Linked DNA regions of Alligator mississippiensis. The protein of the gene in region 1 purifies or fractionates together with the protein of each later gene. This does not show direct contact. Links are inferred from orthologs where the notes say so. Each region holds a gene or a part of one and is shown on either strand. Other genes may lie near its edges. The genes, in order: IFT57, IFT88 and IFT20.

Region 1 (4,962 bases):
ATACATACATATATGTACATATACATCCATACATTATACACACACACACACACCCATTATATATATGAAAGAGGGAAGTTTTTCACATTCCCGAAGCGTAGACTTTAAGACCAATGCCAAAAATCATGAGTTGACAACAAATCTGTGTGTGTGTGTGTGTGTGTGTGTGTGTGTGAGTGAATGGGTGTGTACTGTTGTGTGTTTGGGTGTGAGTGGTGCCTGCGACCGCGCGTATGCATGTGAATGGGGGTGTGTGAGAAGGCGTCAATGGGCGTGTCTCAGTCTGGTGGAACGGGTGTGCATGTACGCGTGTGTAAATGGGTGTGCCCGTTTGTGTGACTGGGGGCATGAATGGGTGCGCGCGCGTGTGAATGGATGTGTGAATGAACACACGTGTTTTTTTTTGTGTGCGCCTGCGTGAGTGGTTTGTGTATGCGAAGAGGCGCACATGTGTGTGATGGGTGTGTTTCGAATGGGGGCACGCGTGTGTGAATGGGGTGAACAGGTGTGAATGGGGTTGTGTGTGTGTGAATGCAGGGGCATGATGGCACGTTTGTGTGTGCGTCTGTGGGGTGCATGTGTGAATGGGTGTGTGTGTTTGTGTGTGAGAATGGGCCTGCGTGTGCATGTTTGTGGGAATGGTTTGTGTGTCCGTGGAGGTGCATGTGTGAATGGGAGTGCCTATGTATGTGTGTGTGAGTGGGAGTACATCTCATGTGAATGGTGCATGTGCCTGAGTGTGTGTGAATGTTTTATGGGTGTGAATGGGAGTGTGCGTGTGTGAATGGGGAGATGTGAATAGATGTATGGATGTGCATGTTTGTGTGTGTATGTATGGCTGTTGGTGTGTGTCTGAATGGGTCTGCGTGTATGTAAATGGGGAGTGTGTGTGGATGGGTGTACATGCATATGTATATGGGTGCATGTTTGTGTGTGCATGTATGGAATGGGCATGCATGTGCATGTGTGTGAATGGGTGCAGGTGTGTGTGAGTGGGTGTGCATGCACATTTGTTGGTATCCATGTAAATGGTTCTGTGTGTACATGGGTGTGCGTGTGTGAATGGGTGTGCATGTTTTTGTGTGTGCGTGCTTTGTGTGACTGGATGCCCATACGTGAGAGAACTGCGTGTGACTGGTGACGTGTGTGAATGAGAGGTGTGAATAGGCGTGTGTGTATTTGTGTGAAGGTGTGCGTGTTTGTGTATGAACGTAAGAGAATGAGGCTGTCAGTGAGGGTGCGAGTGTGTGAAAGGTGCGTGTGAACGGGCGTGTATACAGGCGTTTGAGTGGGGCTATGTGAATAGGGGAATGTGTGTATAAATGGTGTATATGTGAGAATGGGTGTGCGTGTTTGCGTGTGTGTGGGAATGGGTGTGGACGTCTGCGTGTGGGAACAAGGGTATGTGTAAATGGGGGTGCGTGCGTGGAGGGGTGAATAGGGGTGCACCTATGAGGGGGTGTGAATGGGGGTGCGTGTGTTTGGGGGTGACAGTGGGTGCACCTGTGTGGGGAGTATGAATGGGGGTGCACGTGTGTGGGGGTGATTATGGGTGCGTATCCGCGTGAACGGGCACGGGCGTGTGAGCGGATGCACATGCTTGAACGTGCGCGCGCCCCGGGGTGGCGGTGACGTCGCGACACGTCACGACAGAACCCGACATTCTGGCGCTTCGGCGCCCTGCCTGCTCGCCAATTCAGCTGGGGGCGCGCGTGAAGGAGAACAGCCCCCGCTCACTAGCTGGGCCCCCGAGCTGCGAGGTGACTGGTGCAAGGGTATGGTGTACGGAGAGCTTGATTGGTTGGGGCCAGGGCGGAACGAGCCGTGCAGAGAGGCGATTGGCAGAGCTCGTTGCCGCGGTGACGGCGCGGCTGCCGGGTCGGGGCAGCGCTTTGGAGGCCCTGGGCAGGGGGAGGCTAGAGATGGCGGAGGAGGGCGGCGGCGGCGAGCGGCGCGGCGGGGAGGGGGCGGAGGCAGCAGCGGAGCGGGGCCCGGGCGCGGCCTATCAGATGTTCGTGACGATGGAAGACCTGCTGGAGAAGCTGAAGCTGCTCGACTACGAGGAGGAGGCGCTGCGGCGCCACAACATGCGGCCCCTCTCCAGGTGACCCTTAACCCGGAAGCCGCTGGCGGCGCGGGGCAGAGGGGGCGCTAACTAGGGGCTACCTCCCTCCTCGCCTGTGACGTCGCCTTGGCAGTCTACCTGCAGGGGGCGTGGTTTGAGGCTGGGGTAGGGTGTGGCTTACAGTCAGAGGCTCTGGTACAGCCCTGCGCCCTGCCCCTGAGGGAGTGGTCCTAGATCCTTCCAGGGGTGCCCCAGGGTCCAAAGTAGCTGACCTGCAGCCACACCTGCACCCTGGCCCTGGTCTGGGCAGCGTTTTATTGGGCAGCAGGCACTTGCTCCTTGGACTTGCTCACAGTCCAGTGGGCACTGGCAGGTGCTAGGGTTGCCAGTCCTCCAGGACTGCCCTGGAGCCTCCAGAAATTAGATATAAATCTCCAGGAGACTGCTGAGTGTCACGTGGGAGGTCAATGACAGGGCATTCATTAAAATAAATATTTATTAAATGTTGAATCTGATTTATATAGTTGTCCAGTGGGTTTTTAAAATGTAATAGGAACGTTGTATTTGACTTCCTGACATGAAGCCATTCATGTCATTACATTGTGTTATGAAACCTGGAATAGATTCAGAGTTGGTAACCTTTGCTGGAACGACCCCCTCAGCCCGCTCGTCTGGCACGGCAGCTTTCGCTCCCGTCCCCATTCTGCGTTGTAGTCGTCCCATGGGTTCAGCTGGCGCATGCCCAGTAACCCCCTCTGTTAGCAGTGGGGGATAACCCTTGTCCCATCGGCATAAGGCTCACATTCCTCAGATAGGCCTGAACCTCCCTGGCCTCTGCCCCTCGGCTCTGGCTCTTGGCCCAATGGCCTCAGCCTATGCTGCTTCAGGCTCTTGTCCCTCACAGAAGTAAAGATCGCAGCATGCTGGGCACTCTGCTTTGTGGCCTTCAAACACACCCTCACAATCACTCCTGGTCCTCTGGTCGTTATTATCAGACTCCTAACAGAAACACAAAAGCCCACTGGGTAACAGTCCTTAACAAAAATGTTACCTGGCACAGGCACACTCCTGGTATAGCGGCTCCCCTGCCTCTTCTAGTGGCTTCTCCTCTCCTTGTGATTCTGGGTTCCCCATATTGAGCAGCAGAGTTCCTTGATCCTCAACAGTCAGGGCCAGAGTGCCCCACTCTGCCTGGGAGGTAAGCCCGTATGCTGGCCAGCTTATCCCTGCTGCTCAGCTTGGGCACAGAGGTTTCTCTTTATCTCCTAGGGCAGGGATGGGCAATTATTTCGGGCCAAGGGCAGCTTACTGAGTTTTGGCAAGCCATTGAGGGCCGCATGACAGGCAGCCAGGGGCAGATAAATATTAATTTTCTAAATTTTTTAGGGTCCCCACAGGCCGGATAGAATGGCCTGGCGAGCTGCATCCGGCCCACGGGCTGCATTTTGCCCACCCCTGTCCTAGGGCCTCTGTGAGAGGTGAGTCTGCAGTCCTGGGCCAGCTGCTTGTCATTCAGCAGTGTCCCTACCTGTTTGCAGCCTTCAGCTTACTCCTGGCCTGCAGAGCAATTTCTGTGAAGCCTATTGCTAGGCAGCTGGATCCCCAAGGGACTGGCAGTTCTGTTTTAGTGGCTGCCTTCCTAGGACGGCTTATTGTTGCAGGTACCAGGTGTCTTTCTCACCCTTGCAGACTCTAGACTGGACCCTTCTCCCCTGCTAGTCTCAGGGAGCTAAGCTCCTTGTTCCTCCTTGGAGTCAGGTTCCCATTTCTGAGTCCTTGCCTCTCCAGGCTACAAAAGTCCTATTCTTAAATGGCTTGCAGGTTTTCCTTGTCCTTCAGCCCTTTCCCAGTAGCAGAACTGGGCATTCCTGTTACAGTGGATATTTTGGTTTTAAGATTCAAACCCCTGACCTCATCAGTTAAGATGGAAGTGATTAGTGTACACAGAGACCTTCGGATGTTTTGCATAAAAATCAAGTTAAAATAGATAACGAGAGGAAGTTAGTGGTATTAGTCTGAAGTCAGGCAGAAGGCAGGGTGAAGATGCACTTTAATTGACTCGGAGATGCATACACTTTCATTAGTTTTTATGATGAATGAGTCATATAGCGTCTGATGAAGTGAGCTCTTGTTCATGAAAGCTTATGCTTCTCTGATTCAGTCAAACTATACAGTGGATGTTGTGATATTCAAGGAAAAAGAGAGTGGGATGGGGGGGTAGGGAGAGAAAGGAATAGATTGAACAAGCCTTCCAGATCTTTTCTTTTTATTCCCCAAAGGATTAAAAAATCAGTGCAGTCTGTTTTGGCAAATATTTCACAGATCACTTCTAAAAACCAAATCCTGGCTCTTGGTGTCACTTACTATCATGCTTCTTGCAAAAGTCTGAGGTTTGTCACATTGCAACTTTCCCCTAGAGTATAAAATATGTTTATTTTTATCATCATCATAATTGATATTGATGATAATGATGATAATAATAATAGGCATGGGGACAAACTGGTTGGGATGTCTCACTACAGCTCCTGAGGCCTGAATTTAGGCCATTCCAGACTTGTACCAAAAGGCAAGCCTCAGTCATCCCAGACATAAAGTAGTACTTTGTTATATGATCTGGGGAGTCAAAGGCAGCCAGACACAATGCCAGCCAATCAGCCCCTGGTGTGCTGTTGATTTGCAGAAGCTAGCAACACCATAAGCTTGGGAGGTATTTTTTTTTATCTCTAGGAAAAGGGATGAAAGCCAAAGAGTATGGGCAGATGTTCAGTTTGAGGTCCCAAAATTTCCAGGACCAGGAAAACAATCCAGCTCCCTGACTGGAGAGCTGGAGTCACAAGCTCTCTAGTCAGGAGGTGATAGAGGGCTGCTCCTTGGTTTCCCACACTCCAAGGGGATCC
Region 2 (4,962 bases), about 180 Mb from region 1:
TTCATACAATTTCAACGACTGTAACAGGCCTGAAGGATAGAGTAGGAGCAGCAGATGCAATATGCCCTGGCTTTAGTAAAGGCTTTTGACACCATCTCCCAAAACATCCTCATATGGAAGCAAAAGAAATACTGTCCAGATGATACTCCAAGTTTAGTGCATAACTGAATAGATCATTGTGCTCTAAGAGTAGTCTTCAATGACTCAATGTCAATGTCAGACTTCCAGCAGACAACCAAGCAGGGCACTCCACAGGTCTGTCCTGGGTCTGGTATAGTTTTATGTGTTCATTAATGACTTGGAGGATTTGCAGATGACACCAAGCTCGATACGGTAGCAGGCCCTTTACACAACACGATTAAGATTCAAAATAAACTTAATATCATTTCACAATTTATTAAGCAAATATGCTGAAATTCAATAAGGGCCTGGTACTGGAGGTTTACAGTGGTCTACAAGCTGACAAGAAGTCAACAATATAATATTGTTGCGGGGGGGCTAGAAGCTTACTGAGATGAATTAGAACATCAGAGTATCATACACGTCATGGAAAGTGATTTTTCTGCTTTATTCAGTAGTAGTCTACCAAGAGGACAAGGTCCAGTTCTGGCCACCTTGTTAAGGAAGATATGGAAAACTGCTCTCTTCTGATTCCTCTCCAACAACAACAATTAGAAGTCTGGAAACAAGACATACAAGAAAAGGTTGAAAGAACTGGGATTATTTAGTCCAGGGAAGAGAAATATGAGGGGAAATTTGGCAACAATTTTCAATTACAAAAACAGCTGTTATAAAGATGATGACAGTGATCATTCATTCTCTATGTACACAAGGGACAGGACAAGAAATAATGAGCTTCAGTTGCAACAAGGAAGAGTTCAAATATTAAGAACTTTCTACTTCTGGGAGTGGTTAAATCCTGGACAAGATTACCAGAGAAACTATGGAATCTCCATCACTGGAAGATTAAGTGAAGGTATGATAAACATTTGTCTGAGACAGTTTAAACATAAATGAACCTGTCCTGAGAAAGGGACTAGACTAAATTACTTCCTGAGGTCCTTTCCAGCCTTATGTTTGCATGTTTTTTTTATCTAAGATTATTCCATTTAGGGTAAAGGCCATCCCATGTCTTATGATTTATTCTGTAAAGTATCTAATATATTTTGTTTTCCCCTATAAAAATAAATCAAATTGCCTGTTATTTCCCTAATTTCTAGATCTAAGGAGGTTCACAATTGTATAAAAAATAAGTCACTATAAAATTGAACTATATATTAGACAAGAGATGTGAAGGACTGAAAAATCTACATGAAATATTCTAATCTACAAAATCAATTTAAGTCAAAATATCCCAAATACATAAGTTAAGACCACAATTAATCTCACTCTGGCTCTTCTGATTGGAGGTCAATTACAAATTGGCCAGATTCAGAGCAGCCCTAGGGCTACTCCAAGTAGTTCCAGGTATCGGATCCAAAATTAGGGATTCACAGGATTGGCTTGAATTCATTTATCTTGTGCCACTGGCCACAAATTCAGTGCAGAAATAGAGTAACGGAAAATATGTTCCATAGTGCACTTGGATTAGACGCATCTTAGATACTGAACTTAGGAAAGTATAAAACAAAACCCTTCCCCCTCAAAGTGAAAATTTTGTGAAAGCAGTCTCATCTAGTTTTGGTTTACTTAGAAGTCACATAAGACGAAGGGTATTTAAGTTTACTTGCACATCTCTTTTGGTAAGCAAAGATTTGCATCAATTCTAATAATATTTAAAAAGTAAATGGAGGAAAGAGTTTACTTAGTAACCAGCAGTTACCGAGTAACCCAGAGTCATTACTGGCCATGATGAATGATAGAATTTTAAACAAAAACAGAGTTCAAAGGAGCCATTTTGGCAGATGCGTACTATGCATTGAAGAAATCATGCTGAATATCAAGCAGCAAGATCTTAAAATTGGAGAAAATATGCTCCCAAAACTGAAAGACTCCTGGTAAACAAGTAAGTATCATACTCTCCTAGCATTGCAAAGGAGCTTGTACATTTAATGCTACATGCTAGTTAAGTCTGTATTATAACTTGGGTAGATTTAAGGCTAGAGAGATTATTTCTTCACATTTTATGGATGTTAGAAACTGCATGTTTCTATTCTCCTCACCTAATGCACATAGGTTAACAAACTTTTAGCCAAATACATAGCGTGTCTAACTTTAGTCAGACCTGTCTCTTACTGTAAGAGCTAATTAATACATTTTATCATCTTGCCTGTCTTCCTTTTGATTGAAAAAAAGAATTGAAAAAATTAATAAGCTAATAACTGTAAAAAATAAGAGAAACTCCAAATCTTTACACTTATTAACCAAAATAAGTGTCACAACATTTTCATAATCTTAAATAATTTTGGATCTTTCACTGATATTTATTTATTGTAATAAAATGCTCAAAGCAGGCTGTAATTATATATGCTCATTTTTTAAATCCTCAGGACAGAGAAGATAATTCTACAGTGATCAATTTCTTCAAGAATGGAAGAAACCTTGCCAACACACTATTTGCTTGTGACAGAAAACAGAGACTACAGAGTGCCAAGCACCCCTTTTTCCATGTTTCAATGCACAGCTGTTAGCATCTGACCCAACCTGATAGTAAGTAACCACACTTGCTCTATGACCATATTTTGTTTTTATATATGGTTTTTTATTGGGTTACGGACATTTATCATGATATATAAAATATAATTACCATGCATTATTTTGGCAGTAAACAGCTGTCAAAAGTTGACCATTTCAGGATGCTAAACTTTTTTTCTTAAAATTAATGTTTGTTGCATCTCTTCCACCTGTATAGCCAGATGCCTTGGTTATTACAGCCCAGATTCAAGATGAAAAGGGAAGCAAGTTTATATCTCCTACTCAATTGCAAGAAGGTATAATTTTGAAGAATTCACATATAGTCTCTTTAAATTAGTGATTCTCAACCAGGGAACACAAGTAAGCATGCATGCACGAGCATTTTATGTTAATACTTTGAACCAAGCTAATCAAACCTAATTTGTATTCAAAAGAATTTCAGCCAGGAATGTTAAAAACACATGGGAAAACTAAAGATGGAACAATGAAAAGGCAGATCTGCTCTTGAAATTTGCAGTAGGTTTTCTGTGTCTATATTAAGACCAATAACTGTGGTGCCACTAGAGCATACCACTGCACCGTTACTCCCCAATTAAAGAAATATTTTTCTCTTTGCTGCATGGCTACACAGGAGAGTCAGACTTTGAAAAAGAACTCTGAATTCTAGCCAGACATTCTGTAATGCACTGTTCCACTCCTGAGGTTCATGGATTCCCACTGGATGGCCATGTATTTTGGGTTTTAAATGAAAATATTCTTCTTATTCCATCCCACCATCCATTTTTGATGAATGTATAATAATTCATATACTTGAATACTAGGCAATCTAAACTAGGGGTCAGCAACATTTTTGGGCAGTGCCAAAAATACCTGCAACCTCAACTTGTAAGACATTAGCATGCCAGGTGGATGGCAGGGGAGCCACAAGGGGCCAGATCCTTGTTGTGGTAGTGTAGCCCTGGCCCCAAGGCACATGTACCAAGCAAAATGCGTTCACATGCCATGCTCTGGCACCCATGCCAGGGGTTGCCTACTCCTGCTCTAGACAAATATGACATCACCCTTACGACACCTCAAACTAAGAGCTGTTTGTCTCCACATAAGCAACATATACTGCTTACTGGAAGTGATTCCCTGCAGTGTCTCCTCTGTGATGCAGTTGGACCACCTGGTTGCAATTCTGTCAGCTCCTCGGTCTTTGGAAAGTAGTCTTTCCTCCGTGTCTGCAGTGGTCATGAAATCAGAGGGTTTGGGATTATTACTGCCATGGGTGCTTTCAGTGTTCTTTGGTGATCTCCATCAAACGCAGAGGTTTAATTTTAGGTTCCCTCGCAAATATACAGTCCAGCTCAAAGTAGCTGTAGATGCTGCAAGTTCTCCAAAAGTCATGGTCATCCCTTACACTTTTTTCAACCAGGTTAAGTTCTTTTCTTTTATTTGGCACTGGCTTCAATATGTGTTGCGCTTCCCTCATTCATTTGTTCAGACAGACACTTATATATCTGAATTCTAGCCATTCCAGTGCACAGATAGGCCTGCACATATTCCTTTCCCAAAAAACAACGAAGTCTAGAACCTCAGTACGAGGGATAGCTGTTCAACAGACAGGAGTGTGACAGTCATATGGACAACCTCAGTACTGGGGTCACAGGAGGACAGTAACTGGTTGTGTGCCAGTGTTTAAACAGGTGAGTCAGGATGATCCTGGAACAGCAAGGGCACTCAAACATGCAATCCAGGCATCCTGAAAAACTGTGTAGGATACTGGTGGGAGGATTTAGGAGATACTCAAGAGCTACTTTGGGATAAGTACGTCTCCACCCCTACTTTGCTGCAGATGAGCCCATCCTGCACTTCAGCAGACTTGCTTCCCAAGTGCGTTTAAACGCACATGTTCAAATACCACATGATTCACTACAACACTTGTGTTTGGGGAAAGAAAATTCTTTAATGCAAAATGACTCAAGTTTAATCTGAGACAATGTCAAGTGTAGACAGGCCTTATATTTCAACAAGAGACAGAGATTGATCTACAGATTGTTCTGACTGAGCCACCGGTAAGATAACAGAATGAGACATAATGTTGTGATGTCACCTCATATGCAACTACTGAAAATAACTGGAGGAAGGATGAGAACCAGATAACATCAGATGACCTAAATAAAAAAATGTCCACAAAAATACTGAATAAAAAACTGAAAAACACAGGTGTAGTAACAAAGGAATACTACCATGAAAGGACACTCAGGTACATACAAATGTTTACCACAGGCAGAAAGAAAACAGGGAACTTGATAGAAAAATATGGTCATGCATGTTCACACACTT
Region 3 (4,962 bases), on another chromosome or scaffold:
CAACGTTAGAAACAAAAGAATAGATTAGTTTAGTTGGAACCAACCTTTCTGACAGGCAGGACACAAATTACCACTGCACCCTCCCCGGCTGCCACTCCAATCCTCTTCTCTTGCCTGGTTTGCTGCTCTGCCTCCTTCCCTCCGCTCCCTGCCCCATTTGCTGCGTTGCTTTCTGCTTCCTGCCCCCTCCCTGATCACTCACATACCCCACACACAGGCTGCTTGGACCACTTGTGGCATGTGCGCCGTAGGTTGGCCACCCCTGGATTACATCAACAGGGAAGCTACATTTCCCAATGAAAATATGGGACTCATATATTTTATCCCTGCAAGCTAGTCACAGGGACTGCAAGCTAGAAGGACGAAAGAGTAGGTTCAAAAGCTTGTCAAGAGGACACACAACCTTTCAGCATGAGGTTACAATTCAAACCTTACCCAAATAGGTAATGGCTGAAGATTGTCACCATCTCGGGTAATTCATCAAAATGATTTTTAGCCAGACCTCCATTTCCCCCTTCCTCCCACAGGATAAACTTTTCACATCACAAAAACCTATTGAACTATTTCTGTTAGTTTACTGATAGGATTAAAGCAGCACATGTAGCCCAGGCGCAATTATATCAGTATAAAGGTAGCTTACACACCAATAATAAATGTATAAATAAATGGATTTAAAGGTATTTTACACACCAATTTATAGATCGGTATGTTGGGTTACCTTTCTAACGAAGATATTCTTATCAAAGTAACTTATATACTAAGGAGAGAGAAAAAAAAAATCTGCTTTTTAACATAAAAAAGTCGTTATTCAATTAAGATGACGCTGACTTCCCGCAAGGTTTAACTAATTCACAAGGTGAGTTTGGTCCTAAATTTTCTTTCAGACCAGAGACAACAAAAGGCAACTGCGGTTTCAAGCAATGGCTGCTCCCATCTCCGTAGGGCCAGCGTCTGCCTTTCCGGCCCTTGGCGACTAAACCGATGGGACCCGCGCGCTGCCGGGGGCACCTCGCCCCTCGCCCGGACCTCGTCCCCCGCAACCGGGGAGCTTCCTGCGCTCCCCTCCACCAGGTTTCGGGTTGAGTCGATGGGTCTTGCGTTCCCCCCAATTTTTTCCCTCCGAGCCCCCCCCAAATTACCTGAGGATCATTTGAACCCATCCCCAGCACCTGGGGTGTGACCCCGCAGCACCTACACCCCTGCAGCGACAGACGGAGGCACAAACACAGGGAGGCCCCCAGCCGGGCCTGTGGGTGGGGGGCACACCCCTCCCGCCTCACTTCTGCCGGTCAACCCCCCCGAGCTCGTACCGGTGCAGGCCGCTCCGCCGCCGGCTCCACCGCCCCGGCCCGGTCAGCACGTCTCCTCCCGCCCAGGCCCGCCCCCGACTTCTCCTCGCCGCCACGGCGGCGGGGACTACAATTCCCAGCGTGCTCCGCGGGGTGGGGACGCTTCCCAACATGCTCCGCGGGCACGCGCCTCTGTTGTGGATGGGAGTTTCCCGCCGGTAACTGCAACTCCCGGCATGCTCCGCGGGCAAAGACAGCCATTCCCAGCATGCATCTCTCTTATGGACGGGAGCTCCCAGTAGGCCTCGGTAGCCTGGAACTGCAACTCCCGACATGCTCCGCGGGCAAAAAGTCACTCCCAGCATGCACCTCACTTGCGGACGGGCGCTCCCAGCAAGCCCCTGCATGCAAAGACAGCCATTCCCAGCATGCCCCTCACTTGTGGATGGGCCCCGGCAGTCGGGAACTACAACTCCCGGCAGGCCGGCGGCAGGCAGGGAGGCCCCACGACGTGGAGGCCGCGCGGAGGTCAGCAAGGAGCCGAGCCTGGCAGCCACGCGTCATTATAAATAATTAAGAAGAATACTAAAATAGAATGAGAAACAATGGAATGAGCTAAACAAACGCAGCGCCCCGCTACTCTCAGCCTATCCCCTCCCTCCCTCCCCCCGCGGGATGGTACATTCCGCGCGGGGGGCGGGGCTGTCGCCGTGGCAGCCGAAGGCCGCGGGCAGGGGAGTCGCAGGGCGCGGGGGGCGCTGCTGCGCCCATTCCACCGGCGGGTAAACTGAGGCCGCTGGGCGCAGGCGGCGGCCATGGCCCGGGAGCTGCTGGGTGGCGCGGGGCTGCACTTCGACGAGCTCAACAAGCTGCGGGTGCTGGAGCCGGGCGTGGCGCAGCAGACGGCGGAGCTGCGGGAGGAGTGCAAGGCCTTCGTGGACAGTGAGTGCCCCCCTCCCTCCCCCCCGGATCGGGCCCCCACGTGTGCTGAGTCAGCAGGGCCGGGCTGACCCATGTTCCCCAGGGCAGGGGGTCACTCCGAGCCTGGCCCCTCGGGGGGAGGGAGTAGATGCGGTACGCGCGTGGCTGGAAAACATCTGTAACTCGAATTCGTGTCGCACACACGTGTCGCACAAGCACGGACGAGTTGCGTGTGCGGGTTTCCCTCGACGCGCTACACGCGTCGCTGGAAAGCGGTGCGTAACTCAAATTCGTGCCGCGTACACGTGCCTTACAAGCAAAGACGAGTTGCACGTATAGGTTTCCCTCGCTCGACGCGGTAGGCAAGTTCCTGGAAAACGTCTGTAACTCGAATTCGTGTCGCACACACGTGTCGCACAAGCACGGACGAGTTGCGTATGCGGGTTTCCCTCGATGCGCTACACGCGTCGCTGGAAAGCGGTGCGTAACTCAAATTCGTGCCGCGTACACGTGTCTTACAAGCAAAGACGAGTTGCACGGATAGGTTTCCCTCGCTCGATGCGGTAGGCAAGTTCCTGGAAAACGTCTGTAACTCGAATTCGTGTCGCACAAGCACGGACGAGTTGCGTGTGCGGGTTTCCCTCAACGCGGTACACGCGTCGCTGGAAAGCGGTGCGTAACTCAAATTCGTGCCGTGTACACGTGCCTTACAAGCAAAGACGAATTGCACGGATAGGTTTCCCTCGCTCGATGCGGTAGGCAAGTTCCTGGAAAACGTCTGTAACTCGAATTCGTGCCTCGCAAGCACCGAGTTTAGGTTTCCCTCGCTTGACGCTGGAAAGCGGTGCGTGACTCGAATTCGCATCGAGGGGCGGGAACCCACTTTACGATGTAACAAGCATGGATACGTTCCAGGGCCTCGGCTGCAGTGACGTGGCGTCGTGGCGCTCCCGGGGCAGTGGCTGCGGGCGGCTTCGTGGCTCACAGCTCCCGGAGGAGCCGCCGGCCACCTCGGCCCCCCCCAAATAATGTCTGCTTCCTCTGCCTGTGTTGTCGCTCCCACAGTGCACTGCACAAAGCAGGGGACTGCGGGCTTCCGCTGCACCGATCACATAAGAGTGAATTTACCTTGCATATAATGACCATTTCCCATTTTTGGTATAAAAAGGGTCGTTGCCTAAGAGCGAATTTGCACATACGCAACCCGCATAAAGCGAGGGAAACTCGGAAAAGAAACCTGATCCAGGCCTGAGCTTCTCATTGCCAAGCTCCCGTCCAGCATAGATAGAAGAGGTCGATGTCGACTTCCCCTCTCCCCCCCAGCAATATTTGACCTATTATTTATGGAGATGTTTTCTGAAGTGAATTCATTAGTGTAGGGAATGGCTTGGCTGCAGATAGCATTGCTTTCTGTTTGCTACCACAGCCGTGCGAATGGCATGGATACACCTGTGTAAGGCGACTTCTCGTTGCAAATCCTGACTGCTCAATTGCTTTCGGTTAAAGATTAAATCAAGGCAAAGTTCCCGTGAAGTATTATTTATTGTGACATTTCCAGCTCGCAGCACATACAGCAAATGCATTTGGTCTCACGCAAGGAAAAGGGATGGTTTTTTGTAGGTGGAAGCCCAGCTTTGTCTTTTGAAAGGATTATTTTCCCGCAGGGCTTTATTGTGATATTGTATGTTAGGACACTTCACTTGCTAAAGAAGCCAACAAAGGGCTTTATTTAAATCCAGAGATAAAACAAGTCAGAACACAGAAGCACACATCATAGTAGAAGAAATAGCACCCAATTTGAGTAACAAGAAAAACCACAGAACAATCTGTGCGTGCATTGTTCCTGATGCAATCTGTGTGCGCGTTGTTTCTGTCAAGCACAAAGTAATCCCAGTTTAAAAAACAAAGCACTCAAAGTCTATCAGAATACAACACTGGTATCACTTTGATGGATGCATTTGGTATAACAGCAATTTCTCTCTTTTTTTTTCCCCTCCCCAGAAATTGCAGAGTTTCAAAAAATAGTGGGTAGCTTAATTGAACTTGTTGATCAACTAGCAAAAGCAGCTGAAAGCGAGAAGATGAAGGTACTGTGCAAATATTATCTAATGCTATCCTCTGCCTCTGCAAGTAAAGACCGCCCCCCCCCCCCCCCCCTTATTTCACATTCAAAGCAATCTGTAGCAATCCATCTGAAATAGACAGTCGCAGATGGTGGTGCGTGCGGGATCTCTGCAGTGACAGCCAGGTCTCCCCTTATCAAGGTGTATAAAGAACCATTGACAGATTCTGACAAGCACGCTCATTATAGTGTCACATCACTCTTGTATTTGCATTATCCCAGCCCTACTGGTTGTTGGCACATGTGCAGGTAAACATGCTTTCTAATCAGTTTCTTTCTTCCGCTAATTTGTTCCAAAGGACCCGAATTTTGTACGTGCGGCATCATTCAGAAAGTGTCACCAGGGAGAGCATCGTCATTGAAGGGAGTTGGCAGAAGGAAGAGGTTGATTAGAGAAAAAAGCATTTACATACACACTAATGATAGCTTCTTTTGTGAACTCCATTGTTGATGCATACGTAGACAGACACATCACCCATCTGTACACTTTATAGGTTAATTTAGAAATAGTATAATAAACAAGCAAATGTATTGTCATCTTGATTTGGTGGGGGGGGGGCAAATCGGAATTAGCGGTCACCTCTCTGCTTACCTGTCCTTCCCTTGTACCAGTGATCAATGATCCTGTAA

What was found.
Region 2: the proteins of IFT57 (region 1) and IFT88 purify together in Homo sapiens (affinity purification with mass spectrometry; 3 studies listed by BioGRID and IntAct, counting the BioPlex papers as one, with this or other methods). This does not show direct contact. The link is inferred for Alligator mississippiensis from reciprocal best matches to the Homo sapiens genes IFT57 and IFT88.
Region 3: the proteins of IFT57 (region 1) and IFT20 purify together in Homo sapiens (affinity purification with mass spectrometry; 3 studies listed by BioGRID and IntAct, counting the BioPlex papers as one, with this or other methods). This does not show direct contact. The link is inferred for Alligator mississippiensis from reciprocal best matches to the Homo sapiens genes IFT57 and IFT20.

The regions. Positions count from the first base shown.
Region 1 is NC_081824.1:258,560,881-258,565,842, forward strand, and holds the start of IFT57 (intraflagellar transport protein 57 homolog), read left to right. Parts: upstream 1-1,907; 5' UTR 1,908-1,922; coding exon 1,923-2,104; intron 2,105-4,962. UniProt on the Homo sapiens protein: Required for the formation of cilia. Plays an indirect role in sonic hedgehog signaling, cilia being required for all activity of the hedgehog pathway.
Region 2 is NC_081824.1:433,865,174-433,870,135, reverse strand, and holds the start of IFT88 (intraflagellar transport protein 88 homolog), read left to right. Parts: upstream 1-1,881; 5' UTR 1,882-2,005; intron 2,006-2,489; 5' UTR 2,490-2,649; intron 2,650-4,962. UniProt on the Homo sapiens protein: Positively regulates primary cilium biogenesis. Also involved in autophagy since it is required for trafficking of ATG16L and the expansion of the autophagic compartment.
Region 3 is NC_081837.1:7,380,571-7,385,532, reverse strand, and holds the start of IFT20 (intraflagellar transport protein 20 homolog), read left to right. Parts: upstream 1-1,772; 5' UTR 1,773-2,104; coding exon 2,105-2,231; intron 2,232-4,211; coding exon 4,212-4,297; intron 4,298-4,631; coding exon of another isoform or gene 4,632-4,694; exon of another isoform or gene 4,695-4,962. UniProt on the Homo sapiens protein: Part of intraflagellar transport (IFT) particles involved in ciliary process assembly. May play a role in the trafficking of ciliary membrane proteins from the Golgi complex to the cilium.